Linked DNA regions of Oreochromis niloticus. The protein of the gene in region 2 purifies or fractionates together with the protein of the main gene of each other region. This does not show direct contact. Links are inferred from orthologs where the notes say so. Each region holds a gene or a part of one and is shown on either strand. Other genes may lie near its edges.

Region 1 (11,284 bases), on a different chromosome or scaffold from region 2:
TGGAGATGAGCACCCTGCACTGGTAATGCTTCAGTTTTGACATTGCCTCCAGCCTCTGGTCCTGACTCAGACCACCTGCAGAGGCCAGACACGACACCTCATTAAATCTGATAACGTCAACTGAAAGTCGCTGGCATGGAAGCATTAAAAATACACACATTCACAACACTGTATGAAGGTCATTTTAAATATGTGCACTATTGAAATGCAAAATGTTGCCAGGCAACACTGCAAATCATAAACCACCTGGCCAAAGAAATAGTCACACGTACAAGATATTCAAGAAACAAATGAATGAATTTCAATCTCTAAAATTCAAAAGCAGCTGGTGTACCAGTATAGAAATGCCTCAAATTTAAAATGAAAGAACATTAACAAATCAACAATTCAAATAGAAATCAATTACCAGAGTTTTCAGTTTTACCATTTTTATTGACCCATCCTAACATTACTATACATCACATAAAGCAGTCTTACCAGAGATGCAAACAGCAGGCAGACCTTTGGAGGACAGGATGTCTGCCAGGTGCTGAGCCCTGTGGTAGCAATTCATCGCATTAGAATTTCAGAAAGCTTTTATGCATTCTATATAAAACAAGTGTAAAAAAATTACTTTTTCTTGGTAATAAATACAATCAGCATCACATACCGTGTGTGTAGGTTGGAAAACACCAGTGCTTGATTGAAGGGGATTTTACTGAACAGCTCTAGCAAGTACTGCACCTTCTCCTCAAAAACCTTGTGAGGTAACGGATGGGACTGAACCAGCTTGTAATACTGCTTCAGACCTGACAGGGGGCGACACAAGGACAACATACATGCTGTCATTAATTCAACCTGACCTAACAACTTTGGTCCTTCGAGCGGGACGTGCTCTGCCAGTGATGTGTGCGAATTAAAATTCTCGTGTTCTGACATTCACTCAAAATAAGCACAGAGCTAAAAATAGGATCCTGTGGAAGAGAAGAGTGTTTTTAAGAGTGCCTTAACTTAGCCTTGTTACTGTCAATCATATTACTCCCCCCAAGAATTTTCTGTCAGGAAATAATCCCATCAAACATGTCAGTTTTCAGACTTGGTTATCTCATCCATGTAGTCTTATTATGCAGAGTCTCTGTTGCTATGACAGCAATTTAAATACATTAAAAAAATGTCGAGAGGCCAAAACTCAGGAATCTTTCTCTTTTCTTTTTTCCACCTATTAAAGTGAGTCTTACCTTTCAGGCCCATGTCACTTGGATTTAGCCGTACAAAGGTGGGCTCTCTCATGTAGCGGGTGAGGTGCTGAGCAAGGGATTCTGGGTAGGTGGCGGAGAGTGCGAGCATCTGTTTGTTCACGGGCAGCGAGGAGAAGATCCAGCTAAAGAGGACCAGGATGATGGGTGAACTTTAGGTTAGGTTGGTTTGTAAATGTGGTTACGATATATAAACGGCTTCAGTCTAAATGTAGTGCTTGAAAAACACTCTGCTCGCTACAGCGGCCTGCTGCTCATTTAATAGGAGTGTAATCACAGAAATTGTATCCTCATACTTTATCTGTTCCTGGAAGCTGCCCTCCTCCAGCAGCTTGTCTGCCTCATCCAGAACAAACAGTCTGATGCTGGCCGTTGACAACATGCCCAACTCGATAAGCTGCTTGATGCGACCTGAGCACACAACCGGAACACTGTTACCGAACAAAAACAACAGCGGCGTGGCGATTACGTGACGTGGCACCGCCGACTACTATCCCGGCTTCCTACCAGGTGAGCCCACGGCTACATGACACTTCTTCAGGTGGGTTTTGTCCTGACTCACAGGCCTGCCGCCAATGAAAACATGGCACTCCAGGCCCTCCATGGCACAGCCTATGGCCATGACCACCGAGTGGATCTGCACCGCTATCTCACGTGTTGGAGCCAGCACAAGAACCTGCAGGAGGGAAAAGTGTCAAAAATGAAAAAAACAAAAACGCTTATACTCGATTGGGAGAAGATTAAGGATGAACAGTAAGACCCCAGAGCTAATAAGATTACATTTGTTCTACAAGACCAGGTGTAGCTCATCTTTATCAATCATTCTTCCCTTTCATTCATGCGTTTGACACTAAGCAGCTTAAACTCAGCAGAAGGCCATCTGCTGGTCATGAAATGATTAAATAATAAAACTTCCCCTTTCCCTCTTCTGATGATGTTTTACTTTAACCGTCCGAGTGCAAACGTAGGTCATATCCTCATAATCAAATATTATACTGACCTGGGTTGAAGGATTCTCCAGGACCAGAGAGTCCAGGGCGATGGTGCAGAACACGCATGTCTTTCCTGTCCCAGACTTGGCCTGTACAATCAAATCTAAAAGGAGAGACTCAGTGAGCGATGCACAACAGGGCTGGCAAATGACAGTTTTGGCATCAGCAGTTAATTACCATGACTGGGTGAAGTATTGCTGCCTAATCCTCAGCATCAAATCAATTGTCTCCTACCATGGTTTAAATTAACAAGTGTTTACCTCAAGTACAATGAAATTAAGCACATTCTGCATCACCGCTGCAGCCGAGAGCTTTTCCAACACACAGGCAACCTCCAGGTGGAAAGCAACTATTCTGAATTTGTACCTCGTAAAGGCAGTAAAATGTTTAAAGGCAATAAACACATTTGATCCCAAAGAGTGATTCAGAATCACGATGAACAGTTGTGATATCTATGATAGTCAAAAGAAGGACTAAAGAAGTACTTTAGTAGTACTAATGTAGTTGTTTCGAGCTTTTCAAAATAAAATACTTTTTAATATCCTTTAAAACAAAAAGATTTGTTCTCATTTGACCATGGCTTTGAGGAAAGTTTACAACAAAAGTCAGTGTACAGTCTGAGTGTAGTACAGTTACAGTAGATAGACAATAACAACAGTAACAGACTTAACTAAATGAAATTATACGATAATATAACAAAGTTCACAAAATAGAAGAAACTCTAATATATAGCTCAATTATAAATATCCAGAATATTGCACAGATGAAATATATATTATTGACATAGAAGCTGAAAACATGTAATTTGATATTGTATAAAGAAATGTTTTAAGAAACTACATTAAAATGTAATACATGATTGAATTATTCAGAGTAAAAAAATATTTGGATTACAGCTGAAGTCTCGGGGCCATATTAAGCTCTTTTCTAAACTAATAATATAGAAGATCTCTGCAGTTAGGTCCATAAAGTTTATATTCTTTTTCCCTGTGTACACATCACAGTGGATTTGATGAAGATGTGACTTTCAGCTTAATTCAAGGGGTTCAACAAAAGTATTGCATTAAGTGTTCGGGAATCAGAGGCACCATCTATCAAAGAGAGTGGAGTTAATGTTACGAACTATGACTGTGAAATCACAGGGATGCATGGCTGCCTGTGAATCTGGGCCTTGAGTGTTTATTGATGATGTGATTGCTGGTAGCAGGATGTACCTTGAAGTGTAAAGGGGAATTCAGATTCATCCAAGTGCTGCAAAACTATGCAAATGGAAAATGACTCAGAGCATCCTGCAGAAGCAACCCGAGAGTTTCAGAGGGCAAAGAAAGTGGAAATTCTTCCTGAACAGTTGATGCAACTCTTTAGGGTCTGGGGTCTTACTGTTCATACTTTTGTCAAACCTCTGAATTAAAGCTGAAAGTTTTCCCTTCAAATACATTTTGACAACTTGATTTAAAATTCACAAAAAAGCATCAGTGTCCACTTACTAACAGACCTAACTCTAACACACCCAGCTATTGTACCAACAGATTTTTAGATCAGATACACGATGCTTTGTCTCTACTGCCATGATATCACATGTAATAACCTTTTTACATTATGTTCTTTTAATAAGTCCAAATGTCAGTTTTGCACTAGTGGCCAAAAGGACAGGGAAGTATTTTTATTAATTTACCTCAGGGACAGTTATGAGTTGTCCTACATGAAGGAAAGCTAAAGTCTTTCTGAGGAGCACGTTGTAAGGAGATGCTGCTGGTAGCTCATGGGAGGAAGTCAAATTAGATAAACTACCTTTTATCTTTTAGCTCTCATGTGTTTCTATTTCCAGATAATATTACCTCCCGACAAAGGTGTTCATGTGTCTGGATAAAACGGAAATAGGCAGGCAGATTGGTGCTGTATCGAAGTAATGTGCCGACTTTACTGGACCAGTGAGATGAAGAGTTAGCTGAACCGGGAAGCAAAGATTTGGATTTACCAGTCAAGCGTGAAGCAAGTCTGGGTTCAGCGTTTCACCCAAAGACACTTCACATGTAGCCTAGAGGAGCTGGGAATCGAACCGCCAACCTCCCAGTTAGTAGATGCTCTACCTGATTAACCACAGCCACCCAAGTTTTAGGTCCATAAATTTGCCCATAAGTGTGTTTTTTGATTGCAGTAATAATAATTATAACAATAGTTTTTCATTTCATATTTATGAGGAGATGCATAAGCGGACGATAATGAATGGATAGATAGATTTGAGGCATAATATATCACATCACATTAATCATTTGCGTCTAAATATGTATGACCAATATGCTTTGCAACAAAAAATTTAAATTAAAATACTTTAAAAAGTTGTAAAAAAAAAATAACATAAAATAATGATGATGATGATGATAATAATAATAACAATAATCATTTTTAACTATAGTGCCAGTCATGTATCTGAGCAGACATGCAAAATTATATATGATGGATAGATAACAGATTCTGATCCCTGATGTATGTAATGCACTAATGTAAGTTAGTGATTTGATTTCACGTGCATACATAAGGTATTTTGTTGCTCTTTTTATAAAATCAATTATAAGTTTTATACACTGAAAACTTTATTTTTCCTACCCCCAACACACACACATGTGAACCCTCCCGCAGTTTTGTTTTGCACCCACCGAGTCCGCAGCGGCCGAGCGGGATCGCCTTGAGCTGGATCGGAGACGGCTTCTGAAATCCCGCGGCGGACAGTCCGTCCAACACGGGCTGAGACAGCAGCAAGGAACCGAAGTCGATCCCCTCCGACAGAATCACGTCTTCGGTCCGCTTTCGCGCTTCGATATCGTGAGCTGCTTTCCTGACGGAGGTAGCCATGTTTGCTGTACTGTTTACTGCCGGTGACCCGGTTAAAAAGCAGAGACACAGCTGCGCTTTAGCGCCCTCTAGCGATGCGGAGGGGAATTAATTTCTCTGCGCAATCATCTGGGTGTGATTGGTCGATTACACACTTTTTGGCAATAAATCTTATATGGTTGGAAACCCTGTTTATTTCCCCCTAAGTGGTGCTAAATTTTTAAGGAAAATGCATTTGTGGGCTGAGCAGCAGAGTTGATTATGTGGGCTGTGTCCATGAAAAACTTGCAAAATCTTCTCTCCCAATGCCAAACAAAGTATTCTGCTATTGAATCTTGTTTGGTGCAGTTTATGGGACTGTATTTTTGAAGTTTGAAGATGCATATTAGCAATTTAATGGTTTATTCATTTGGTAGCATGTGGAAGAACCATCTGGTACCTCCTCCTCATGCTGGTCACCAGCTTGGTCACGCACTGCTGTGGGATGGTATCCCATTCTTTAAGCAGCATTTGTTGCAAGTCAGCCAATGTGTCAGTGTTGGTGACTCTGGCACAAACAGCACACCCAAGCTGACACCACAAGTGTTCGATGGGGTTGATGTCAGGACTGCAGGCAGGCCATTCTATCATCCTCACTCTTCAATTCTGAAGATAGTTTCTGATAAACCTCATTCTGTGAGTTTGAGCATTATCTTCTTGGAGGATAGAGTTCGGTCTCAGACAATGGAAATAATGGATTGCCACTGGTTGGAGAATTACATGTTGAGATTTCTTTGCATTAACAGTACAGGAGTATTTATTTATGGCAATAAGTCAATAACCCAAAAGTTCTTATTGATGGCCTTTAACAGCTCAGTGCAGGAAACTGTCTTTTGATGAGGTTATTAGTTACAGCCAATGTTAGTTAGTGTCTTAACTCTTAAAAAAGAGGAATTATTCATTGAGTTTTTTCAGCATGCCAAGAAATTGCAAATGTAATCACATATAGTTTTGGGGAGCAATATATTAGTGATTAGTAAAGTGCTTATGGATGGATCCATAGATCTGTTGGGCAGAAAATGTAAATGAGATCTTCAAGGTGAATTTAATTCAACAAATCACAATGTCATTTTTTTCTGTTATTGCACCTTTTCTTTTTTAGCTTTATGGATTCATTCATTCATTCATTAGGAGTTGTGTAGGTATTAAGGATGATTATAAACAGAGACACTGACACTGAGCTCATTCTCAAATAAGCCACGAGTTAACCAGTTTGTGTCATTAAGTGACTCAATCAGGCTAACGTCTCATTAGTTTTTAATGAGAGTACATAAAAAGGCAAGGACAGGTATCCATAAATTACCAGTTTATTCCATTATTGGCTACAAAATGTGTGACAAACCAGCAGGAATTCTGTAGACATATCGGTCGATCCTGTATGAACGTTTTGCATCATTACTCACGAGCAGCTGTAAATTGAGCAATCATGGAAAGTGCAGTCTTAGAGGCTATCAGACAGAATTATTCTCTCCACAATCCGGCTCGACGGATTTTGTTTTCTGAGAATTGCAAGTCATCTACGGCCTCCTCTCCTCTTACTGGGCTTATTTAGAGGGCCTCGCTTCGCTCTCAGAATATCAAGCACGCAGTATCTGTTGAACAGTTTTGTAGTTGTTCTTATTGCTACATTATTTATCAAATGATTAAAAAAAATGCTAAACACATACCTGAACTTGCTATTTTATTTGCCTTGCTGACAATGTGGCCATTTTAGAGTTAGATGTGTGGGATCTGACACTTTTTTGTTTGTTGTTTTTTACCAGGCATCACTGAGGTTTTTCATACTGTCACCAGATTCTTCTCCTGATCTTCACAGAGCAAAATGGAGAGTGCTGCCTTCCACAGAAACTCTTCATCATCTAACAGCTCAGCCAACACGGAGCTCTTGTCCCGGACTGGTTACACAATTCTGGCCGTTATCATGGGTGTGTTCTCTGTGGCAGGGATCATCCTCAATGTCGTGGTGATTGTGGTGACGGTGAAGCACAGACAGCTAAGGCAGCCACTCAGCTATGCCCTGGTTAACCTAGCTGTTTGTGACCTGGGCTGTGCTGTGTTTGGAGGCCTGCCCACCACAGTGACCAGCGCCATGGGATACTTCAACCTGGGACGTGTGGGCTGTGTGTTAGAAGCCTTTGCTGTTTCCTTTTTCGGTGAGTCTACATTTTCTTTTTCCTCACATAAATAAAAGAAGAAATACAATAAGGTATTCTAGTACAAGTAAAAGTACCTCAAGTAAAAGCATCTGAAGAGAATTTAATTATATTATGTCAGATTTGCAAAGCTGTATCTGAATAAACAATCAAAAAAACACAAGATCTGGAACAGTGTCCTTTGGACAGATAAGACTATATTTGAGATGTCTGGATCTATTGCAGAGAGGTGAAAACCAAATACAGCACATCGGCACAAACACCTCATACCAGCTGTTAAGCACGGTGGTTCAGAGGTGATGATTTGTGTTTGTTTTGCAGCTGTATACCAAAGTATTGTTGAGACAAATGTCAGTCTGACAGTTAAAGCTTGGCCACAATGTGGTCATGCCACAGATAAATGATCCCAAGCACAGCAGCAAATCTACAACAGAATGGCTGAAAAAAGAAAAGAGTCAAGGTGCTGTTGTGACCTGGTCAAAGTCCAGACCTTGCTTAGTATTTCAAATGCACGCAGTCCTGTGGAAACTTTCATTTTCTAATGACCGCTTTTGAACTTTTTGAGCTTAAAAAAGTTACTTAAAGTGAATTATTTAAGATATTTTGAAGGAACTGTTTTTGTTTGAAGTTACATTATGTACTATAGTCCATATATTTATAGTTAATGTCATTAAAATAAGATTAGCATTTCTTCCTTGAAATGTAGCACTCAACAGTGTGCACAAATGCAACACTTAGAACGCAAAAGTCATGAATTACTTTCTCTTTATTGCAGGTATAGCGAGTCTGTGCACAGTTGCAGTCATTTCTGTTGAACGTTACGTAGTGGTGTGTTATCCCATGGGTGCGGTCCTCTTCCAGACCAGGTACAGTAGTGACCATCAAGGTCTCACTTGGGAATGTTCCTTGTTGTACCAAGCATGTCAGACACCATCTCTGTTGTCCTCAGGCATGCAGTTGCTGGAGTGGTACTGTCCTGGGTGTGGTCATTTGTGTGGAGCACTCCACCTCTGTTTGGGTGGGGAACTTTTGAGTTGGAGGGGGTCAAAACCTCCTGTGCTCCTAAATGGCATAGCCGTGATGTTGGGGACATGTCCTACATGATAATATTCTTCTTCCTTTGCTTTGCCTTGCCCTTTTCTGTCGTCATGGTTTCTTACTCGCGGCTTTTATGGACTCTCCGCCAGGTGAGCAACAAAGAGGCTGCGCACACCTTATATTTTTGTTGATTGTATTGAAAACATAATGGAGTCCTTTGCCCTTGAATGTTTTTCCTAGGTGACCAAGCTGCAGGTATCTGAAACAGGAAGCACAAGTCGTGTAGAGGTGCAGGTGGCGCGCATGGTAGTGGTGATGGTGCTGGCCTTCCTAGTCACCTGGCTGCCATATGCCGCACTTGCACTTGCTGTCATGATAGACTCCAGTCTATATGTCGACCCTGTCATCGCTACCATTCCTGTGTACTTTGCAAAAAGCAGCACTGTCTACAACCCCATCATATACATTTTCATGAACAGACAGGTAAGCTGGTTTAAAGTACACTGAAATTCACACATACAAACAAACACAAAGAGGGATTCAGGCTCATGCTGTATGTTCATGACCAACCATGATCCTGTGTTTGTGTGTGTGTTTCCAGTTTCGAGGCTACACTGTTGCTGCGGTTCTGTGTGGATGGAACCCCTGGTCCTCCGAGCCGCAAACATCTGAGAACGAGACCACTGTTGCGTCTGTAATCAAGACCCCCAAGAAAATTGTGCCTAAAAAATCTTTGGAATAGAAATGTGTAGAAATTATTATTATTATCACTCCAGAGGCGCATCCTGATTATCAGAACAAAGTCAAGACAACTTCTGCAATGTACTGCAAGATGGTTTTCACAAACGTAAACAAAATATCAGAGAGTAAAAATGATGCAATGAGGAAGAAGGTTGCACAAATCTATGTATTAAGGCATAAAACATAACAGTAATAAAAGCAGCAGTAATAAAAAAAAAAAAGATTTCCCTGTTCAGGCAGGCTTCTTTTCCTTTTATGTATTCAGACAACAACACAACATCTTTCTTGTCCTCTGTCATTGATATTGTAGATGGTGTCATTGCTTTTTATCTCTTTTAAAGAATAAAAATACAGTTACATTAATCAAGAACTATTGAGACTGCACAACTCACAGTTTGTTTGCAGACATTATTTAAAAGATAAAACCTCACATATGTGAGCAAAATAGCCTCTGTTTACTTCAGTCTGTCAGTCAGGAGCTGAATTATCTCACCTGGCTGAAACACTGGCACACTTTTTAGGTACGCCTCTTTTGCTTTCAGATCTGGTTTGATTTTTTTGTGGCATAGATTCAGCATAGAGGAAACATTTCTCAGAGATTTTGGTCCATATTGAAATGACAATATCACACAGTTACTGCAGATTTGACAGCTGTACATCCATAATGTGAATCTCCCATTATCTCTCATCTCAGTTTCTCTGTTAGATTGAAACCGTCTGAGTACAGTGAACTTGTCATGTTCAAGAAACCAGTTTAATATGATCTGAGCTTTGTGACATGGTGTCAGCAGTCATCAGAAGATGAACACACTCAGGCCCCAAATGTGCCAAGAAAATATCCCCCTCGCAGTTACACTGCCACTATACACATCAGCTGTTGATACAAGGCAGGATGAATCAAGGTTTACATGTTGTTTCTGACCCTGACACCTGAATCCTGCAGCAGAAATCGAGACTCATCAAACCAGACCAAGTTTTTCCAGTCTTTATTTGTCCACTTTTGGTGGTCTTCTGCTGCTGTAGCCAATCTGCTTCAACGTTCAATGTGGTTTGTGCATTCAGAGACGCTCTTCAGCATGCCTTGGTATCTGAGGTACTGTTGCTTGTTCTTAGCTGACAGAACAATCAGTTATTTAAGTTACTGTTGCCAGTTTGAAGCGGCCTGTCCATTCTCCTCCTACATCTGGCATCAACAAGGTATTTTCTCCCAGAGAACTGCTGCTCACTCTCTTTATTTGGACCACTCTCTGTCGACCCTAGAGATGGTTATGTGCAAAAATATCAGCAGCTTCTGAATTACTCAGACTAGCCCATCTGGCGCTTCATGCTACAATCAACAGGTCGTCTTGATCATGTCTACGTGAATAATTGCATTGAGACGCCGCTATGTGATTGGCTGATTAGATAGCTGCACTAACTAGCAGTTAAATAGGTGTACCTAACAAAGTGGACCTTAATTTTCACAATGAAGAAATGTAGGCAGAAGCTAAACTAGAAATTTATGTTTTGCAGCAAACTGCTAAAACCCTGTGATAGTAATAGTAAAGAACACTTGATAGTAACGTATATTCAAAAGATTTAACACAAGAAAAAAGTAATTACATGATTTTTAATTTTTTATTAGGTGTACACATCCTCTTTGCTTCTTAAGGTCTGTCCTTCTATATAACCTTTATGGCTTTCATTGATTGAAAAACATAAAATAAAATCAATCAAAATAATCAGTGTCTTATACTCATTTTGCAACATGATACTTCATTTCAGCCTTTTGGATCCAGCATGTAAAACAGAAAACAACTAAACCTGTGATAAGTTATGTCACAGTTTGATCATTCACAGTCTCTCACGCCTTCCTAAATAAACACAAATGCAATCATACCCATCCTAGTACCATGGCTTTTTATTGATTACAGAAATATTGCTACGACTGAAGAAAAGCCAAAAAAAAAGCCAGAATGTTAATAGCTGTATCAAACCTGTACACTTTTGTATATACAGAGTGGGGGACCATCTATGTACATGCTACATACTGTCACACTCTGGGAAAATAAGTAGTCCTTCTGACAGTTACTGACATGTGATCATTTTCTGAATCAGTTTTATAAAAAATTAAGAAAGATGCAGAAATGACCCTGTCAGTGCCCGAGGTACAGGAAAATCCAAACTAAAATCACAGGCCATCTCACAGATACAGTACATGTTAACATGTCAGCAGATTTTGGTGTGTGAAACAGTTGTGTGCTTGAACACCTGG
Region 2 (10,627 bases):
AATAAACAGAATGACTCAATTTATAATTTAAACAACACCACATGGTTTTGCAGCTCCAGGACACTGACTTAATTATCCAAATACACTGATTAATCCTCTGAATGTTTGTAGCTTCGCTTCTATCAATTACTCTAGGAAAACTAAAAGTGTCACCTGTTGATAAATAGCATCGTAGCATTTGGACCTCCCCAGCTCCAATTCAGAACCAATCTGTTCTTCCTATACTAGGGCTGCAGCAAATTCAAGTGTGTGCATCTCAATTCTTTCAGCATATAAGGTTCTGTATAAAACTTCTTCTGTCTAGTACAATATGTCAGCTGATTTCAGTACTTTCACAAATGGGTACACACCAAAGCTATGTCCACATGTGCATGGGATTTTTTTAAAACAAGGATTTCCCCCATGAAATATAACAAAGTGACATCAAGCGCTGTGATGAACATGCCTAAGCAACATGTGACGATGTAGCCCTAACTGTACAGGAATGTTGGCCAACCAGCACTGAAAAAAGAACCAACTTAATTCAATTATTTCAATTGGTAACACCTAATTTAATTAAGTTCTTTGAAATGAAGTTAATACATTAGATAAATCAGTTGTGTTACTCTAATGTATTAACTTCATTTCAAAGAACTTAATTAAATTAGGTGTTACCAATTGAAATAATTCAATTAAGTTGGTTCACCTATTTTCTTTTTTCAGTGAGAAGCCTACATACAATAACACACTTCACAGTCTGATGTCAAAAAACAAAACCGAGGTGCGCACCTTTGAGAATGTAAGACAAAATGTCAGTTTTCCTCGTCACCACGCAAACACAGAAGCACAGTATCTGTCAATCTTCACCACTGGAAGCAGCAAAGGCTGCTTTGGGTGATCTAAAACAACGTTTACATGTGGACGAAAGTCCAAAACGCACAGAAAAAAATTTATGTTTACAAAACTGTATGTTTGTGAATACTGGCTGAGGATGGGGGGACAGTGGAGGGGATCTGGGTGATATCTGATGCTTTTGCTATTATTAGCAGCTGCAGCATTCAGTGTTTCAGAGAAGTAAAACAAAATTCAAAATTATAAATTTTTCTGACATCCGCTAACTCTTCATCACACCATCTTTGACCTAGAACCTGACTCGTGTAGGATTTTGAACACTCAAGCCAATATTCAGGGATTTAAAACTCAAATATCTGACTGATATTTTCCTTCTTTCAAACACACAAAACATTTGTATGTATATTTATTTATTTGATAGTTTATGCTTTGCCTGACTCTGCTCAGATCCGCTCCTCCTTTCATTTGTGGTGACCCAAACACTGTTGCAGGGAAGCTGCAGAGTGCCCACTAGTGGACAAGCTATACACCATCAACATTCAGAACGTGTTTGAAAGGGTGTTTCTCTCGCCTGTTCTGGAACTTATCTGATTTTATAATTGCTGATACTGAAAGGTCAGCAAATAGCTAAAACTGGCTGAGAAATCTGTTGGGCTCTGCTTTAAACATTTAGCGAGCACAAAATCAGCCACTGTAAATTTGTATCTCATCTGCTAACAGGCTGACATCCGTCTAAAACGGTGATAATGGGTGACTTTTCACAAATGTGTTCAGGCTGTCCTAGAAAAATGAAAAAGCACAAGCTGCAGCCGTCATTTTGAACAGGTTTTAGTCAACAGACCGCACACTTGTGGCTGTAGAGCTCATACAGAGTATAAATACACCACTGAATAAATTCTTCAGAGAACTTCAATTACATTTTTCCAATGTAACTGAAATTACAAAGAAAAAAAGACAAAAAGGCAACTTATTTTGTATAATTTCTTTCTCAAACTTAATTAAAATACTCAGGTTATTTTTCTCATTCATAGTTTGACTTTTTTAACTTATCTGCAGTAAGACTTATGGGGAATTTAATATTTAGTTTTTTTAAACAAATTAAGAAAAAATGTTTCTGCATATTTTCTGATTTCTTTGTTGGAACAAAAATAATAAATAATACAGCTACTTTTCACCTGTACCCTTATTCACAACAAGTCACCACAGCAGGCAGCTTAACATGTTTGATTTGGCACTTCTTTTTTTTTTTTAATTATGGGGGGGTTTTTTTATTACTTTACACTGGATACCCTTCCTGACCCATCCCCAAAGGGTTTTTTTCAAATGAGTAAACCACTACACTATGTAGCCACACCAATAATAATATACAAGAAAAACTTATTTAAATCTCACATTTGTAATTATTTTGGTACAATAGTTGAATTATTATTATTATTATCATTATTATTTATATTAACATTAACAACAACAACAACAACACATGTACCAAATCTACACCAAATCACTATATTATAACCTGAAAGATGATTTTAAGTGTTAACATTTTTGCACTTTATTGTAGGAGATGCACACAGCTCTCATTATTGCTGGACAAGCTCAGCCATATCTGCAGCTTCAGATATTTCAGTCAGGACACACTCCATTCCCTTCAGTGCATTATCTTTTAGCTCCAGCGCTGTTCATTCAAACAGAAAACCTTTGATAAAGCCTAGCAATATATGGTGGATTTTAATAAGTGCCCTTTAGTTAAGTGCTTTGCACATAAGTGCACAAAATGAGGTGTACTAGTGCTGACTAGTTGAAGAGCAAAGCATCTTCTGTAGACTCTCACAGGATCAAAATACCTATATGCTTTTTGCTGGATGGTTTCACTATCAGAAGGTCCTGTTGTTTTTCAGATGAGTACATACTGTGATGCTTGAAGGATGTGTGAGAAAAAAAAATGTTGCCACTTACACTGGACCACTACTAGGGTCAATTTAAAGTGTTAAAGCCCGAATATGGGAAAAGCTTACCAGAGCTTACTGACCCAGTAGAACCGGGTCCCTCAAGCATCTCAGCAGCTACAGAGAACAAAAATAACATGTTATAAATGCTCAAAGATCCGCTCAGTCTGATACACACTGTATTTCAAAATAAAGAGTAATAAATGTGTACACCTAATAACATAGTACAGCCCAGAGACCAAAGATTACTGCTTAACATAACAAAACCATTTGTTTATGTAGTAAGCAGTAAGAGAGCGCTGCTCATTTATTACATTAGCTTCATCCCAGCAGGCCTTTCTTATCACTTCCACAGGAGTCTTATCAATAGACACGCAGAAAGTATTGAGCAGCTGGCAATCTAACTGATGAAGCCACCCCTTCCCCCTAGAAATAGACTGCTTCAACACACCGAGTCGTGTTTTGGTTGAACAACACATCCTCGTTAAAATAACTGCAAGTGGGGGAAAAAAAATTGTCCAACATAGTGCTGATGTCGCCTGTACTCTCTTTCATTCAGCCTAAAAAAGCCAGCTGACAAAAAACAGAAACGCACACATGAAATACAACGATATGCAAATCTACACACACACAAACACAGCGTCTGTCTGACTAACGACAGGCGGCTCAGTCGCTTAACTATCTCTACCTAACGTCAAACTTAATCAAGCAGACTTCTCCTGTATCATTTAGTGTCTTAAACCCGGTGTTACACTGAAAAGACGATCCGGTGGCGTTAGCGCGTTTATACCGCTGGTGTATTAATGTGACATATGTAAATGTGGCGATTTCAACTGTCAGGCTAATCGTATCCCAGACTGGTGATGAGATTAGGTCGGCCTCGAAATATTGCTTCAACTAGTGTGTTTAGTGCTTCAGTTCGAGAAAAATGAATGATATGCGTTTACGTTCGTGTGATTTGTTAAGAAAATATATGCCAGCCAACCCCCACTTGGTGAAAGTGCAGTGAGTTAACTAAAACAAGTTCGGGAAACCAGGTGCCGTTGAAGCTAGCGTGGCTAGCGGCAGCTTGTTGTTGCACGCTAGCTAAGCTTGCCTCTAGTACTAATACACTTAAAACTGGGACGACATGTTCCTCGTCAAAGCCGTTGTTGAGTTTTACTGTAACGAGTTGGATGAAACGGGAACAGAGCAAGCACTTCATCGATGCAGCACAGAAAAATGCCGCTTCGTTATCGTCAGTTTTCTTTGGCCGCATCACGTAGCCCATGCTAACGTTAGCCGCAGCACTTACCTCCAGCAGAGGAATACATTTTGTCGACTTTTTTTAAGCGTGTGTCGTGGACGCACAAACACTCCGCTTAGTTTTTCGCAGAATTCCACCAAAACTCATCCGTAGTCGAAGTGTATTTATATGTCCAAGTGCAAGGAAGGAAACTCGGTTCTAAAAAGAGATATTTAGTTAGCCAAGTGGTAAATATTTGAAGTCTCTCATCCTCGGCTCGGCCCCATCCCCCCAACACGCAAAACGGGAGCCGAGAGAAAAGAGAGCGCAGGGTAAAGAACCACGCGCTTCAAGATGATTCTTTCCCATTCCTTCCGCCTTTGGTCACTTTACTTTCGGTAGTGTATATATTTACATTTGGACTTCTTTTTTTAATTACCCTTCTTTTTTACAAGACATATGTATTCATCCCATCAGTGTAGTCATGAATGTAGACAAAAAGCTAGTATCCGTATCAGTCCACGAAATGTGATTCTTTTTTTAAATAAATATAACACATACTATATAACACATACATACACATAATACAACACAATTTAGACAAATCACGTTTCCTATCAGATTTAGTATTTTATTAGCCAAAGTTAGCATTTTACACGGTTGCAAACATTTCAAATACGGTAATTTCGACTTAAGGGGAAATATTAACGTTTAGATTGATGTGAAGTGGGGAACTATCTTGCTTTTCGGTGATGTCAGACGCACGCTGCGCGGTCTCAGTAGTGATGCTAATTCAAATCTTTAAAAAAACACCAGAGATCGCTTACCTGGCTTAAAAAACAACCCGACTTTTTATAACCTGGCTAAAATACAGGTCTGGTTTAAATACGTACATATATATGTATATGGCCACGAATGTGGGTTTTTAAAAATGTCAACAAGCAAAGTAATATACCAAGTAGTTTGTTTCTTCGGCGGAGGAAGCATTTCCGGGGTACCAAAGTTTTTTTTTATAATACCTATAGCTAGTGCATAGTAATGGATCCACAAAAACTTCCAACGTTATAGTTCATTATAATATAACGACAGTACATACAGAAGATTTATCAAGCCATGTGATTTTATATTATACGTTGAATTTTACTTATGCTAAAAATTACTTAAAGTTTAATTAAGGGGAATGAATGAAATAAAATTAGATGTACACGTTCAAGAAGTGAATTATTGTCTATAGTAACAAAAGCTGAAGAAGATACACACAGGTAGGTTGTTTCTATTGAATGTTTTTATTTGTTTATTTATTATTTGCTCATCCAGATTCCAAATTTTCCAGCTATTTGTTCATATTTCAGTGGAAGTTAAACCGATACAAGATCTATAAGCAGATATACGAATACAGAGGCTGATTTTCTGGGTTGTTTACAGAATATTTGAATGGGTGGATAAAGCCAGATGGAACACAGATATAGCCATAATGTACATTGAGCACACGTCTCTTTAACCGTGAGCCTGGTTTCGCGTAGCTGATCCCGTTTAAAGTAGAATTATTTATTGTATGAATTGCAGATTTGAGTTATGAAACATGCAGAATGTTTCCGCATGTGTGCATCCAGTAAGCAGCACCTGCTGAAACGCCCATGTATTATTCCAAAACTTTGAAACAGTTGCAGGCTGTTTTATCAGATTACGCTGTTACCAGTGTCACGTGATTCAAATTCCCCGTTAATTTAATCTAATGCGTATATTTTTAACCCTGGGCGTCTGGGTTGTGTCAAATTTGAGTGAATTTATTTTATGTTTTGTTGTGGGTTTGCCAAAGTGAACGACGTGCAGCCCCTCGCTTTGTCCTCTTGTCGGCGCTGTTTACCACTGAATGTGTGGGTTGATGGCCGGAGCTCTGGTCTGTGTGCTCGGCAGCATGCTTCAGAAGGGAATAACATGGATTAATATTTAATGAGCCGTTTATTGATGCCGAGCCGTGTAAACAGCACAGACAGACCGTGTTTGATTTGCCGATGATGTACAGAATTTTGGGGATCATTCATTTGATGCAAGAAAAGCTTTTTTTTTTTTTTTTTTAATTTCCATGGGGGTTAGGCAATGTGCCTCTTAAAATGAAAATGAGAATATATTTATATATGTATGTATAAAAAACCCGAGCTCAATGGTTTAAGCTGCTCAGTTTCATGTCTTTACGATTTTGTTTTATTATTAGATTATTAAATTTTATTCCATGTTTCCATGCGTGACTAGAGCAGCTAGTAAATTCTGTTCTGATAAAAACGCGTAAATAAGGATTAATAAAGACAAGCGTGATAATCGGTGGCTCTTGCAGCACGGGCCTTTTTGGTAATAGGATTTGTCCTTCTAATTTATCCTTCTGATGAATTGGCGACACTTTAATTGCCGCCATTGATTGATAGTATAAAAACACAACAATGCAGCCAACATGCAGCCCGGGTGGCTTCCCCCCTTATAAGAAAGCTGGCGGAGTGAATTGGGTGTAGCTGTGTCTGTGTGCGCCTTGGCCAATGGAACCAGATCCTCCCTGCAGTGCGTAAGAGCGCGATTTAGGATTTAACCAAGTCTTTGCTGCGGGGCTGGCTGCAGTCTTCACCAGAGCCCGACGGCCTGAGAGCCTTTCAACAATGCCAGTGTAGTTTTTTTTTTCCACACCGCTCTGGAGACAGACGCTCTCGGTTTTTATTATTGATTTTTTTCTTTCGTGTTTTGTTTTGTTTTTTTTCTGCTGATTAAATAAAACGAACCCACGCGCTCCCTCTCGAAGTATGACCGGAGTTTTTGACCGGAGGATCCCGAGTGTGAAACCTGCAGACTTTGAGAGCTCCTTTCAACTCTCCAGCATGCACCATCCGTCTCAGGAATCTCCTACTTTACCCGAATCCTCCGCCACGGATTCTGGCTACTACAGTCCCGCTGGAGGAGTCGCTCACGGCTATTGCTCGCCCAGCTCCACCTCTTACGGGAAGCCTCTGAATGCCTATCAGTACCAGTACCCGGGTGTAAACGGATCTGCTGGAAATTACTCGACAAAATCCTACACAGATTACAGCTCCTACACGACCCCCTCCTACCACCAGTATGCTGGGACTTACAGCAGAGTGCAAGCCCAGCCGAGTCCACAAGGTACGGGCCTAACATTTTATATTTTAATAGAAGCAGATTGTTAGAGGGTTATGAAGAAAACATAAATATATGGTTGGGTCTTTTAAAAAATTTTTATCCAGGTTTACCATTTCGTCATCTGCTGATTTGCACGAAAGGTCTATAAATGCGTAATTAAAGGAATAAATGCAAATGCATGCTTCACATTATTTCATTTAAGTTCATTTAAAGGAACCACTTACTTTCCTTTTAGTTGGACCGAAATGCATCTGGTTCATAAAAATTGATGTCTTTTTTGTTATTACTCTTATTTTAATACATCTGAACGATGACACACACGTAATAGATACATTCGGATAATGCGGTTTTGGGGGAAAAGGATACATGTTTATACTCGGTTTTCTTTTTGTTTTTTAATAGAAAAAGAGATAAGCGAGCCTGAGGTGAGGATGGTGAATGGCAAGCCGAAGAAAGTGAGAAAACCCCGGACAATCTACTCCAGCTTCCAGCTGGCCGCCCTGCAGAGGCGGTTTCAGAACACACAGTACCTGGCGCTGCCGGAGAGAGCCGAGCTGGCCGCCTCGCTGGGGCTAACGCAAACACAGGTGGGATTTTCGATTAAAAATACATCTCAGATCTCTCAAATCACTTTCACTTTGGAATAAAGTATCTTGTTTTAAGTGTTTCAAATGTTGAGAATAAAATAATGATTTGCGATGTTTTCTGGCTTTGTTTGTGCGTTTTTACGCAACGAGCGTTCTTTAAGCTCCATTTGTTTTTGAGATGATTTCGGAAGTAATCATAATAATAATGCGATTTTTGGGCTCCTTGCAGGTGAAAATTTGGTTCCAAAACAGAAGATCAAAGATGAAGAAGATCATGAAAAACGGCGAGCTTCCCCCGGAACACAGCCCCAGCTCCAGCGACCCCATGGCCTGCAACTCTCCACAATCCCCGGCCGTATGGGACACACAGGGTCCCTCCAGGCCGCACAGTCTACAGCCACAAAGCATCAACACGACGGCTTCTAACTTTTTGGAAAACACGGGGTCATGGTACACCTCAGCCGGCAGCTCCATGACTTCCCACCTGCAGACCCCTAACTCAATACAGCATTCGTTGGCTCTTGGAGCGGGGACGTTATATTGAAAAAAAGAAAAGAAAAAGAAAACTACACTAAACAAAACAAACCTATTGTTGATTTCATTTCCCCCTCCTTCTATGGGACTCGTGTTCAAATTTCAGAGGAATATGCAATGTATTTGATGACAGTCATAGAAGAAACGTGTAAAATGTGTAAATGTGTGCATGTAATTTATTGCATTTTGGAAGACTATTAAACGTTTAAATGGACAATGGAACTTTGAACCCCACCCCCCTGCCTCCCTGCAGTCTCTTGTTATTTTAAACCCTTAGTTATTTGCTCTGAAAATCACGACAAAGGCTCGCAGACAGCCTCGGGTGACATTTTTTGTTGTTTGCTTCCACAAGGTTGTAAATCACGGCTGCGAGGTATGTTGAGCTGAACGATCAGCATCAAATCTTAATGGTTTTCATGTGCAATTACGGCCTAGGTGTGCGGCGTATTTTTTTAAATGTTTTATATTTACTAAAAACTGGTATTTGTCTGAAAAAGATTTTTGCAGACAAAATTTAGTCTATTTTTTTCTAAGAAATTACAATTAAAAAACCAACATATTTGAATGAAGGCAATATATTCTACATTTGCGATGAATGCAAAATCAGAAAAATTAAAGGGCAAATTTCTGACTGAGCTTACATCAAGCAAGCATTTGTCAAGATAAATACCTGTAAAAGCAAAGGTACAGGCAATGGTAAGCGTCAGCCGACCACACCAATCACATTTTACTGAATCGAGCTGGATGTATTTGTTCTATAATATTGCATCTATTATTGTAAGTCGACAGTAGCTTATCTTCTTAATGCCATTTTTAATTTTATCAGACAAATGGTAACATGATAGGATTTGCTCATGATACAGTAATAATTCATATTTTTCAGTCAGTCCCCGTATTCTTCTTCGTATTTTTATTCTTATTCTTATTGCACCTGATTGAGTCTTTAAGCTAGTCTGTAAGGGAAATGCCCGCTTCTTCCTGCAGACGGTCTGCAGCCGGTCTCGCTTCTTTGTGTCCCCTACAATTAGTCGCTTTGAATGGCAAGAGAGGAGGCGAGGGGGGCGGCACGGAGATCTGAGACAATCCGCATTCCTGTGGGGGTAGACCGGCTCCAGAGCTCTGCCACTCCCGGCCGCCGTACACAGCCCACCTTCCTGCTTAAAAAATGCAAGAACTGAAAAGAAAAAGGAAGAAAATCCTACACAGTTTGAACATGTCATTAGCAGGCGATAATACCAGCTCTGCCAGTGGGGGTTAAAAAAAAAAATCCATTAAACAAACCGTGCCACTGTGACAAACTTAAGAGAATTGATCTAATTGAATTTGCCCCGCCATATGCGCCAAGATAACATAAGTGAGTTTTTACAAATGTTGCACACAAAATTCCTCCCCTTCCCTCTCTCTCTCACTTTATCTCTGTGTCTCTCTCTCACACAACATATACTAAACAATGCTGCATCTGACCCACACACTGACCCATGCATGTTACCATTTCCACCTGACACAGAACCCTCTTCCTGATTGCAGCCCACTGAATAGACTTCACACACACACACACACACACGCACACACACGCGCAGCTATAGGAAACGCTCTCCCTAATCTAAAGCACTGGCAGCTTTGCTGCTTTAAGCACGATTTCTGCTGTGAACGAAACGACAGAGCGGTCACTGCGATGCTAGTGTGTCACTCCAGAAATGTAAAATTTTAACAGGGCACGTGCACGTGATCAAGAACACTTTAGCGCGCGAACCGACGGGCACACGCGGGTTTATATGTCTCCTACACACACAAACACACACATACACACACAGGCACACACACAGCTACTGTACCTCTCTCTCTCTCTCTCTCTCTCACACACACACACACACACACACACACACACACACACACACACACACACACACACTTGTGGTGCCATTATATCGAGAGCCTCCGTTTATTTCCCAACCGAACATTTTCCACTCAGCTAGTTTTCCCCCCGTTTTGCAAATCGAGTCTAAATAATGACAGTTAGCTTTACTGGACAGCTTCAACTGTAACACTCCACAATAATTATTCTCCAGGATTAGGGCCTCCATTATCATAATCTGGACATTGACAATTACCTATAATTTGCAAAGATGCGCTTGGTTCTTGATTGCAGAGGGCTTTTTTTTTTTTTTTTTCAAGCTCGCCATCACTAAACAGTGACAGTAATAACAGCTAATTTTGCAGGCAATATATAAGAGCTTACCGGGGTGTGCAAACACTTTCCCACCTGGATTTGCTTATTCAACCACCAGCAGTAAAAACCGTGCAGCGCTTTTTTGGGGGGTTTAGTCTATGTTAGAGAAGCGGAGGAAGGTAAGGATGAG
Region 3 (11,217 bases), on a different chromosome or scaffold from region 2:
AACAAGCATGTAAATGAGCACAACAGGGGGACTATTTTCATACTAAAACCAACATTTTTCAACACTTGTGTGTAAAATGGTCAATCTTCAAGATGATTGTCCTATGACAATAACTCAGCAGTCTCTTTTTCTTAATTTGTCTTCAAGTCTGGGCTCTTTTTAGGTCCGTGCATGAAAACCGGGATTTAACAAAGCAGCAGTGAACGGATGACTCCACTCCATTTTCTTCAGACCCCTTTCACGCCCTGGTCATTTCATGGCATCAGAATTTTATCTCGAGTTATTTGCAACGTTGAGTTTACCACGATAGCACCATTTATAAATTCAGATGAAAACAAATAGGGTGATATAAAAAAAGTAAAAATACATAATTAGTGATAAATATTGTAAATGTCAAGTGATTTTTTGGGGGGCAACTAAATCTTCATTGGCATCATCAATAGGACTTTTAAAAAAATCTTGGGGCATAAAGAGTCTTCATTTCTAAATTTGAGGTAATTCATGTTATTTGAGTTCATCACAAAAGTGCCTCCGTCATCCAAAGTAGAAATTTATGATGGCATTTTGTAGTGGTGAGTTCAAGTCTGTGAGGGAGGGGGAGGGGGGGCTGACACGCTCGTCATTTCCCTCCTGCCATGATTTTGAGGTACTGCAGTGCATTGTGGGCTGCGTTGGCTCGGGCACCGTCTGTGTTTGGGGCGAAGCCGTGACACACGGTGATTGGCTGCGTGGAGAGCTCCACTAGACACTGACACAGGCCGCTGAGACTGCGCTCCTCTGAGAACAGAAGGAACAAAATACAAAATCACGAGAGCTTCATTTTTATTATAAAATAGATATTTACGAGATTACTGCTACTTTTTAAATAATATCATAACATATGTATGGTGTACTTCAGGATGAAAGATTTGACAGCTAACATTGTTATTAATACTGTACATCTGATTCAATGTACCGTTATTTTATATAGGCACATTAATAATATGATCAAAACTACTGTAACTAAAACATGTATTAGAATATAGTTTCACTCTGTCCTCTGCAACTATTAGAATATAGTAATAACTAGCCTCATCTACTGCATATATTAAGAAAAACTAACACTTTTGTCACGATTTCATAGATCATATAGTTTGTAGAGGACAAAATAACGGCCGTGACAGGTTTTAATACTACAAAAAAAGAAAAAAAAAGAATGTGTGCTAATTACACAAATAAATCGAGCAGAGATAACAAACAATAATAATTCGAATCATAAATGTAAAGCTGCTGCGTTAAACTCTGTTGTTTTGGTGAAGAGCTGTCCACATTAAAAAAATGGTTCTACATAAAACCAAGATAACAAGCAGCTGCAGGCTACTTCCTCAATATCTGGTGACAGTAATAACGACCACAACACAGCTTGCCTTTTGTTTCTTGGCATGACATCAAAATCTACCCTTTATCCTCTGCAAATAGTGTGTGCAGATGGTGCAAACCAGATGTGAAAGCAGTAAGAGGCTTTCACAACCTAACAAGTTTGATCTTAAGCAGCACAGTGAAAGCTCCACTGAATTACCATATTTAACAGATACTAACAAAAATGCAGCTCTTCCTGTCATCAGGCCCATCAGCAGTGGCTCTTTACGCTTTGAATACCATCCTCCTTTTAATGAGAATGCAAGAACGCAAGAGAGAAGTGTGACAGGTACGCTCTGTGAACTCACCTAGGTCCAGGTAGCTGACATCAAAGCGCTGCTCCAGAGACAGTTCACTGAGCAAAGAGCAGAAGTTGGAATCAGAGGGCATGCCCAGAGGGTGGCTGCGGAGTTGGAGGATCTTCTCACCGGCAGAGTTGCGCAGAGAATCCCACGTGCAGCTGAAGCCTTTACTTTTACCCGACTCCGCTCTGCTGCCCATGTTCTGTGCATGCAGGAATTAATGGACAATGTCATTATGTGCCATAACCCAGAGATAGAAGAGTAACAACAGGGCATATGAATCAGAGATTATGCTAAATTAATAATGCTTCAGAAAAAACAGAAAAATAAAATTTAAAAAAATATTTTGTTACTACGTAGAAGTGAAGTAAACTCTAATTCCTCTAATGATGCTTAATAAACATTTGTCAGTTAGTGTAGCAGTGTTTGATTCCCACCATAGTAAATGTATCATCTTCTGCATCAGCATCATTGCTGGTCCTCATATCTACGGGGACATCATGTATGCGTGACAACATCTTAGCTGCTGCGTTTCTCTTGGCTAGCTTCTTAGATGTACCGCTTCCTGGTGAGGAAGAGGAGATTGCATCAGAAACCAAAGGATGTGCTTGATATCTCTGAAGTTTTTCATGCTTTAAGAGAGTAAGTCAAGGAAAGTCACAAACTGGTTGACCAGTGTGAAAGGCGTAACAATAGATATATGATTTTGCTCAGTTTTATTAAGCTGTTTTCTATCAAAAATATTTAATTAGTGAACACACACCACCCACACACAAAATTGTGTTTTTCATGTCTTTGTGGGGACATCTAATTGACATCATGCTTTTCCTAGCAGCTTACCTTAACCATTAAAAATGAATGCCTAACCCCAACTAACCAAACTGTAACCCTGACACTAAAACCACATTTTGAGTCTCAAAAATGCCCGCAAACTCGTGGATCAGGCATTTTGTCCCCACAAAGATATGTAAACATGGTACACACACACGCGCACGCAGGCTGAGAGATTGAAACAAAGCCACGTACCGATTTCTACAAATCTCTCCACTCTGCAGGTCATGGTGAACTCTTTGCGATGTGCTGGACCAGACTCTTGAGTGACTGTGTACTCTGGCAAACGCCATCCTTTCTGCACCACCAGCTCCTGGCAGAACAAAGTAAAAAAGAAACCAAAAGTTGGAAAATTTATAAGCCGCAGAAATAATGACAGCAAAATGAAACCTTGGTAGCTGTCTGCGTTTATTTACCTGCAGAGCCCCTACAGGGTTGCATTCAGACTGCTGTGAAGTGCCTGTGGTCTTCATCTCTGACTGGGCACTACACAGATGTTGAGAAAAAAACAAAAAGGTAACAATGAAACCACACAAACCTCTATCTTACTTTTGTTAAGTGTTGAAATGCTCTTCTTAACATTCAGGCTGGCCTGCTTATTGGATGTTTAAAAAAATTAAACAGAAAAACTGACCCATCTGCATCAGTAGACACATCAACCCCAATAAACCCGTCTACTCCAATACCAACTCCGGCAGGACCTCCGAGGCCTCCCTTTAGCATCTTCAGAGCAGCCTCAGCTGCTTTGTGCTTGGCTGCCTTCTTGCTGGGCCCCTGGCCGGTGCAGCTGATCTCTCCGACGGAGACGCGGAACGTGAAGTTGGGCTGGTGGGCCTGTCCCTCGGCCTTCAGCAGGTCATACACTGGGGTCTTGCCTATCCGCGTTCCATACTCCTGCAGCAGACTGATGGGCGTCTTTCCGGGATTCACAGCCAGCATTTGCTCAATACTACATAAGAGAAAAACCTCGCATGAGACAAACTCTTCAGAAACACCTTTTCATACAAACAAGAAAAATAATTGTATATAGGGTTTAGTATATTGTGTGTAACTTCATAGTTTTACTTTGTTATCTATTATTTATTTTCATTTTCATACCTATATTTATTTTAGTTTTTATTCACTCAAAAATTAAAACAAAAACTATTAGGAGAGTAAAAATCTCACTAAATATTACGGGGAACTATGTTTTTGATACTTTTTCTATATATTTTGAATTCTCTGTCTTCAAAAGTAAAACAAAACACAGGTTCAAACAGAACTTGGACATATTAGAGTTACAGAAACAATTACAGTTACATATATCCATGCTTATATTCACCAATTAAATGAGACTTTAATTCACCTGAAAGTTGACAAAAATGTCAAATAATGTAGACAGAAGAGTAGAATAAAAAACTAAGTAAAAAGAAGAAAAATGCAATGTTTTCAAAGTCTGATCTGTATAAAAATAAATGGCTGCAAAAATGGTCATAAAACATCTGTGTAAAGTTGTGCTTCATTCTCACTGGAGAAACCAAACAGCCACTTCATAAATGGCACAACACAGAAGAGCCACCTCGACAGGACAAGACTCGGCTGCACGTCTGCATCTAAAGGTCAAAGGTCAGTCTTTCAAGGATGTCAATATTCACATTTTGGACAAAAGAAGACAGACGGTTTGAAAGAGGAGTGAACGAAGCCATCTATGTCCACTGTGAAGCATCATCTTTGAACTCTCTGCCACCTATAGTGTAGTTTCCCATGTAACTCACATGATAGGGTGAAGCAAGGTCTCACAATGGGTTCACAAGAAACCTCTGCTGATAATGACCCACACCCTTTTTCACACCTTGGCCCATGTGATGAGCCACATGATCAACAGTTGCTTACAATCTGGGACTTTCCAGCATTTGGTCATAGAACTGACGTAGCTTCTCGGATGAGAGGTAAAACATGTGCTTTAATAATGAAGGGTATCCTTCAGTGTTACTACTAGATAAGCTCTATGGAGCTCAGGTCCTCAGACATGGATAGACTTAGACAAAAAACAACAACAACAACAACAAAAAAACTTTCTTTAGTGGAGATCTGAATTTCGTGTTTAATGCACGTGCTGTAGATCAATACAGCCATCACTGATCTAATTATAGATTAATAGTCACTTTTCTATCGGAAAGGGGAAGCTTACAAAGTTTTCAGTGTGAGTGTAGCTACTTTATTATCGAAGAGTCTGAATACAGTGTGGAAACGGAGTAAAAGAGCATGGATGTCACCAAAGTCTGCAGACGACCCGATGCCGTCATTCTGGCGTCACAGTTTTGCAACGTGCAGCTGTCAGGAAAAAAAAAATGCTAGCAGTTCGTGTTTACAGCTCTGTTTCTGAAACGCTACTAAAAGCCAGCCTTCTCATCTTGTTTGTTACTGGAGGAGGAGTGTGGTGGACTGACCGGGGGAGCTGTTAGCTTAGCTTTACCTGGAGCACCCGGAGTTTCTCTTCCAGCTGTCCGATGCTGTCTCGTCGTTCATTCCCTATTTCACGCAGACAGAGCCGGTCGGTTTCGGATGGCAGTTCCCCCCCACCAAAACAGACACTTGCTTTCATCAGACGCTGTTTATTGTTTCCCCTTACAGATGATGAGGCGACGGCATAAAGCGAAGCCCCCCCGTCACTGCCGCCCCGACAGACTACAACAGCGGAATCCTCTGGCGCGAGGATATGACGTCAGCGGCTCACTGCGAAACCTCTGTTTTTTTTTAGCACGTTCAACGCTGAGATTTCACGAAACATCTCTTTCTATGGATGGTACAGACAGAAGTATACAACAGGCGTCAATCCAGGTATTTATGCACATCAGAGAGGTCAAAAAGTCAGACATTCTTCTTTCGGCTGTTCCCTGTAGGGGGCGCCAAACAAACCATCTGCTGTAGCATCGGCTGTGTCCCAATTCAGGGTATGCACGCTTGAAGTACGCGCACTACGCGTACTACGTACGGTGCGTACTACAAGTACGGGAAGTGCGGAAGTGAGAGGCTTGTGAAATGGGACGATCTAGCCTTCGTCGTGCTGTTCAGGTTGCCTAGCAACCATGATACTAACCGCGAGAAATGTTTCATACAGCTTTGTGTGACAGAAATGAAGGAGAAAAAATGTTTTGTTGTTCATTCATTTTTGTCATGACATCACTTTGATTAGTTGAGCCCACAGGACTGTAAAACATGATAGTTGGGCTTCATTTCTGTACTGAACAGTCATTTCAAGATTAGTTAGTAAATAATAATTAGCTAATGTTATTCATGAGACTAAAGTCATCTCACTGTGGTGATGTTAATATAATATGGACAATATTATATGTATTGTATATATATATATATATATATATATATATATATATATATATATATATATATGATCTTGAACTCTGGGTCAAAGATGCAAGTAGCAGTTATTTATATTTCCTATCACCTTAAATCTTCACTCAAAGACAAGTATCTCTGACAGTGTATATACAGATGTATTATATATAAGAGACAAACATTGTTCTTTCAATATGTTGGCATTACTAAATTTGGCTCAATGCTTATATATATATATGTGTAAAAAGCAAATGTACGAGCTGTGATAACCGTTTCTGATAGAATGAAGATCAGACTGATATATGAAATATTCCTTTATTGGGTGAGAAAATCAGACCGTGTCATAACTGCGTTAACTCATACAGAATAGATATCAGAGCCTTAAACAGGCTGACTTCTGCTAAATGGGTCAAACTGGGCAGAAAGTCTACAAACACATAACATCCTTATAGAATATGATGTAACACTATGGATCAACTTACCTCAGAATATATAAAGCATATAAACAATTACAGCAATATGATGCAACAAACACAGCAGCACTACTGATCCAAAATACTCAAAGCTTCATAGAACTGAAACAAACATTTATTTTTAGCTCCGTTCTGCTGCTGATACATACTTTAGGTTTCTGAATATTAAACTTGTTGCTGCCTTTCATACTGTGTAACTTGAAGGCTCTGAGTACTTTCTCTCACACTGAAAACACTGGAATGATAACATTATTTGAACATTACCTAATAAGACTGATTCAGGACAGACAATTAGTTATGTTAAACTTTCCTAGCAGTCCTTCACAAACAGGGAACAGTCTGTCTATTCTCTCCATCTGTCAGCTGCTGCTGGCTCTTCCTCCTCCTCTTCCTCACACACTGCTGAGTTTGTCCTGGTGGATCATCAGGGGTGCAAAGCCTCACAGATGATGTGCAGCAGTGGGTCCCTCAGTCTGTCCTCACTCTGGACACTTGCAGTTGTCACACATGGAAATCAAATGTGTGATAAGCTGCAGGATTCAAACACAAGTGTAACTTATAAATACATGTTCATACTTTTATTCCACAATCAGAGAGAAAGAAACAGAGAGAGAGAGTGCAGGACAGACAGACAGGTGACAGTCTCAGGTGTACACACTGCTACAAAACAGCACAAGAGAAGGAGGATTTAGTGTTTGTGTTATTACGAGTGCTAAACAAGAAGAGTTCCCAGATGGTCCAGTGGACACATGTGTGACTCCTGTGATTAAAGCATCTTTCTTTCAGCTTAACGAGTGAACCGTCAGCTCGTTCAAACACACGTTAAAGTCCGTTTGGCTCGACACCACCGAACAGAGGCAGCAATATAACATAGCTAACATTAACAGTGCAGTGAATCCTGCTTGTGCCGTCATATTCAGGACTGCAAACCGAGCAGCATCACTGACTTTCAGCTTGTTGTGTTTGTGGATATATGACTGACTTTAATTATCCATAAAATCATCACATTCTCTGTAAGATTAAGGTCAACTATATATATATTTAGAAGTAGAGGCTTTAAAACCAAGTTTACGCTGAAAGTACAAACATCACTAATGTCACATAACTTTCCCGACATGTGGCCAACAGTAATGTTTTAATGTTCTTAAACATTCGCACATAAATAAGTGACATCATATTCAGTACTTACTTTTGACAGTTCACTCTTCGGCCGCTCCCTTCTGCCGTATTTTGCGGCAAAATTATCCACACCCACCGCCGCGCTATGGATTGTGGGATATATGGGGCCAGGAAGCGTGCACCGGACCACGCTTGATATTTGGGGAAATCGACGGCGCATTTGGAGTATGCATTTGAAGTACACTTTGAATTGGGACAGCCGTCGTCGCGTGGCGGTGACGTAATCGCACTTGAAACGCGTACTTCAAGCGTGCAGACCCTGAATTGGGACACAGCCATCGTCTTCTGTCACACCACCCTACTACATGTCCTTTCTCGCTGCATCTATGAATCTTCTCAGTGGGCTTCATCTTTCCCCCTGCTTGGCAGCTTCATCTCCAGCTCAAATCTCAGCATCTTCAGCTCTGCCTGCTGTCTTTTGTCAGCGCCATCATCTCCAAACTGTGAACATGGTCCACATTTTTTGGTAAATGATCGCTTTCACGGTAGTGAAGTCTTAAAAGTGCAGCAGGCCACTGAGGATTTAAAAACAGATTGGTAAGAAAACAGAGAAGTCCTGCATCACGTTGAATTACATTTGTTACTTAACTTTTAAGGTATTTGTTTTAGCCTGTAAATAAAAAATCGCCTTATAGTTTATTTTTTACAGTCATTTCTACAGTTTTATATGTTTTGCATGAGGTAGCTGAACTGTGTATGATTTGGCGTTCCTAAATGTAACCAGAAGAGGGCGACAGTTAGCTATAGATTTCCCCCGCTGACAGCCCTCCCTGTCGGGTCCCTGGGATGTCCAGCACCTGTCATATCCACTACAGACCAACGTGGCAACACGAGAAATTCCTTTCGTGTAGTGGACTGACCACCCTAAAGCTGAAAATAAGTTTTTGAAATCAGATATGCCCCAAAGTGTTTATTCTGAAAACATTCAGAGTTAAACCTCTCCATGGAATAAAAAAGGTTATAAACTTTCAAAAGAAACATTTTCAGCACTTTTAATTTATTTTAAAAGATTACAATGAAAAATAATTTACCCAAGTAAATGTTTTTACAATGATATTACAGTCAGGCAGCTCTATTAATTTGGGATCTTTTTCCCTGCTTGGTTTGGAAAGATGTGTCTTCATAAATAGCCAAAGGAACCGTGCAGACCCCAGAAATCATCTGAACCCACAACGTCAGAGTCTCCTTTCCAAATTATGTAGCAGCGCTTTCGTAAAATGTTTTATTTTATTAGCATTTTCCACCTTTCCATGAATTATCTTTAATTCCGGGGATCAACAATTAATCCCATGATGGTGTGCTTGCAAAGCCCTGCTGGCCACTGTCGAACCAGAGCTCTGAAAACTTCGTCCACTGGCATCAGCGTGTCAGTGTGGATAAGCCCGCTTTGCCAAACGCAACACAAAGTGAACTGGCCATGACAATGAGTAGAGCTGCCTCCCATTTGAACTCCTAAACCTACAATCCGAGCAGCGTGATTTATCACTGACCTGAGTATCTGTGACCGGAGTGCACCCCTCCTCCTCATTACTCATACTTACAGTGTTAATTTGTCTTATTCTCTGAGACTTTATTTATCAGCTGAAGGCTCCAATTTATTGACCTATAATGTGATAATGTAAGCGTTTTTATTGAGCTTGTGGTTAAATCCTTGACTGAATGAGATCAGCGATGAATGCCATCTCTTAGCAGTTACAGTATACTTCATCCAAATTGTATGCGCACATCCACAAACACACTTTCCTTTTCCCTGCCTTGGCCTGGTGCATTAGTATGTGTGGTTCTTTGCTTGCCAAAATCATCAGTAGATATCTTGAAGCCCCGAGCTGCTCTTTTTCCCTCCTTCCACAATATGATGTGTTTCCTTTTTTGTGTGTGTTTTGATCCTTCTCTTGCGGCCAGGCTGTGCTGTGGTGAGGCGCGGGTTCGAGTGGCGCTCCTGTGTTATTTTTGGCAGCAGCAGTGGTTGGTGGCTGTTGAGGAGAGAGGAGACAGAAGGGGGATAGCATGAAGACCAAAACCAAGGCTGTTTAAGGGATTTCTGTCTGAAGGAATTGCTTTGTAATGATCGCACACTCATTATGGATGTGCGTGCGTGCATACATTCACTCACGCACACAGAAAAAAAAAGCTGGCATGCACATTTGTTCATTTAACACTTCTCAAACACCTCGTATACATGCTCTCATTCATGGACCACACACTCAGAGTGGCTAAATTGCCCAACCTGTGATTTTTTTTTTCTTTTTCACTGAATCTACACGATCCACAAGCTGTCGTTTGAATATATCAGCACAGTCACACATTCGGCTTTGGTTAATTTTCTGTGTTTCTGTCATACTGGGAGTATCTTTTGCTGTGAATGTTCTCTCTTTCTCTGAGGGAACCAGACTGAGACATGCTCAGGCAACACGCAGTGTCAGACATTCACGCTCCTCCCTCCGCGCTTCTGAAAACACCATTTGAAAAAGATTTTCTCCGACTCCGCTCTTGGCCACAGATCAAGAGAACGTTATTACTCGACTTTATTTATTTATATATTGTGGTGGTAATGTGTGTGAATGTATGCGCGCTTGTATGTATGTGTGAGTGAGTGATATGTAATTGTGTATGTATGTGTGTTAACCCGCAAAGATATTTCAATTTCTTCAGAATATTAAATAAACATGCAGCAGCAGCAGCAGCTTCAGTGAAGCGCTGCCTGCCAGTGGGTTTTGGGTTGGATGGGTGGCGGTGGTGGTGGTGGTGAAGGGGAGAGGGGGTTTGTGGCCGTGGCTCTGGGGGGGTGAGGCAGCTCATGGTCAGGGCCCCCGCCGGACACACTGGCGCCTCGCGCTGGAGGACTTCTGAACCACCACACTCCTCCACCAAACCCTGCCAACCCTGGCTCCCAGCTCCCACTTCCAACCCAAATCGCTCAGTTCTCCTTCTGCATTTTGACTCTCTGTCTCTCTCTCTCTTCTCCCTCCTTCCTCCCTGACTGTTTTTTCCTTCTTCAGTTTCCTCATTCTGTTGATTCGCATCCAGATTCATTTACTATTGGACTCCGTTCTTTTTCTCACTTACTGCTGTTCTTTCAGTGGCGGTTCTCCCCGACTCTGTTTTCTCTACCTTTTCTCCTGAGAGCTGTGGGTTTTTACACCTCCGCCACCCCTTCTCTGCACTGTCTCTCTTAAATCCCTTCACTTTAAATGTTCCAAGGAAGTATTTAGTGGCTTGAACTTAAAAAAAAGTAAACAAGGATGGTTTGGGCTCTGTGTCAGTCAGAATACCGTCAAGATAGTAAGCATTTTCAAAAGGAAAGAACACTTTAATGGTGCTCTAGATATTTGTAACGGTATTAGGTTATAATGGGCCATCAATTTTCTGAGTGGTTTTCCAACCAGCTCCAAGAGATATAGGCCTGCTTGTCTTGAAAGAAAGAAACTTTCCATCGTGGTAAAAATGGGGTAAACCGTGCTTTGCTGTATATGTCCTCATGATAGATTCTGTTAAAGCTGTGATCTGCACGCGAAGACAATCAGGATGGGGCGTACGTGATTATTGACAAACAGCCAAAGTGTGCGCCTCATTCAAACCCCGTAAGCAAATGTGTGTGTGTGTTTTTTTTTTTTCTTCAAAGAATCACAACTGCACCTACTGCTGCGCATATTTGACTTATGGATGCCAAACATCCTAAGTTGAGCAGATATTTCTTT

The links.
Region 1: the proteins of ago2 (region 2) and ddx20 purify together in Homo sapiens (affinity purification with western blotting; 3 studies listed by BioGRID). This does not show direct contact. The link is inferred for Oreochromis niloticus from reciprocal best matches to the Homo sapiens genes AGO2 and DDX20.
Region 3: the proteins of ago2 (region 2) and tarbp2 purify together in Homo sapiens (co-immunoprecipitation; 10 studies listed by BioGRID and IntAct, with this or other methods). This does not show direct contact. The link is inferred for Oreochromis niloticus from reciprocal best matches to the Homo sapiens genes AGO2 and TARBP2.

The regions. Positions count from the first base shown.
Region 1 is NC_031984.2:17,470,035-17,481,318, reverse strand, and holds the start of ddx20 (putative ATP-dependent RNA helicase DDX20), read right to left. Parts: upstream 5,101-11,284; 5' UTR 5,081-5,100; coding exon 4,885-5,080; intron 2,331-4,884; coding exon 2,236-2,330; intron 1,912-2,235; coding exon 1,743-1,911; intron 1,647-1,742; coding exon 1,532-1,646; intron 1,361-1,531; coding exon 1,218-1,360; intron 789-1,217; coding exon 650-788; intron 537-649; coding exon 478-536; intron 76-477; coding exon 1-75. Other genes in the region: parapinopsina (parapinopsin a), read left to right, coding at 6,921-7,251, 8,027-8,117, 8,201-8,438, 8,530-8,772, 8,891-9,031.
Region 2 is NC_031985.2:24,709,800-24,720,426, reverse strand, and holds the start of ago2 (protein argonaute-2), read right to left. Parts: upstream 5,002-10,627; 5' UTR 4,091-5,001; coding exon 4,072-4,090; intron 2,895-4,071; coding exon 2,847-2,894; intron 1-2,846. Other genes in the region: homeobox protein Dlx5a, read left to right, coding at 6,792-7,149, 7,549-7,733, 7,963-8,277.
Region 3 is NC_031970.2:5,770,021-5,781,237, forward strand, and holds the start of tarbp2 (RISC-loading complex subunit tarbp2), read right to left. Parts: upstream 5,203-11,217; 5' UTR 5,040-5,202; coding exon 4,987-5,039; intron 3,481-4,986; coding exon 3,166-3,480; intron 3,018-3,165; coding exon 2,948-3,017; intron 2,845-2,947; coding exon 2,727-2,844; intron 2,266-2,726; coding exon 2,138-2,265; intron 1,903-2,137; coding exon 1,707-1,902; intron 778-1,706; coding exon 620-777; 3' UTR 1-619. UniProt on the Homo sapiens protein: Required for formation of the RNA induced silencing complex (RISC). Component of the RISC loading complex (RLC), also known as the micro-RNA (miRNA) loading complex (miRLC), which is composed of DICER1, AGO2 and TARBP2.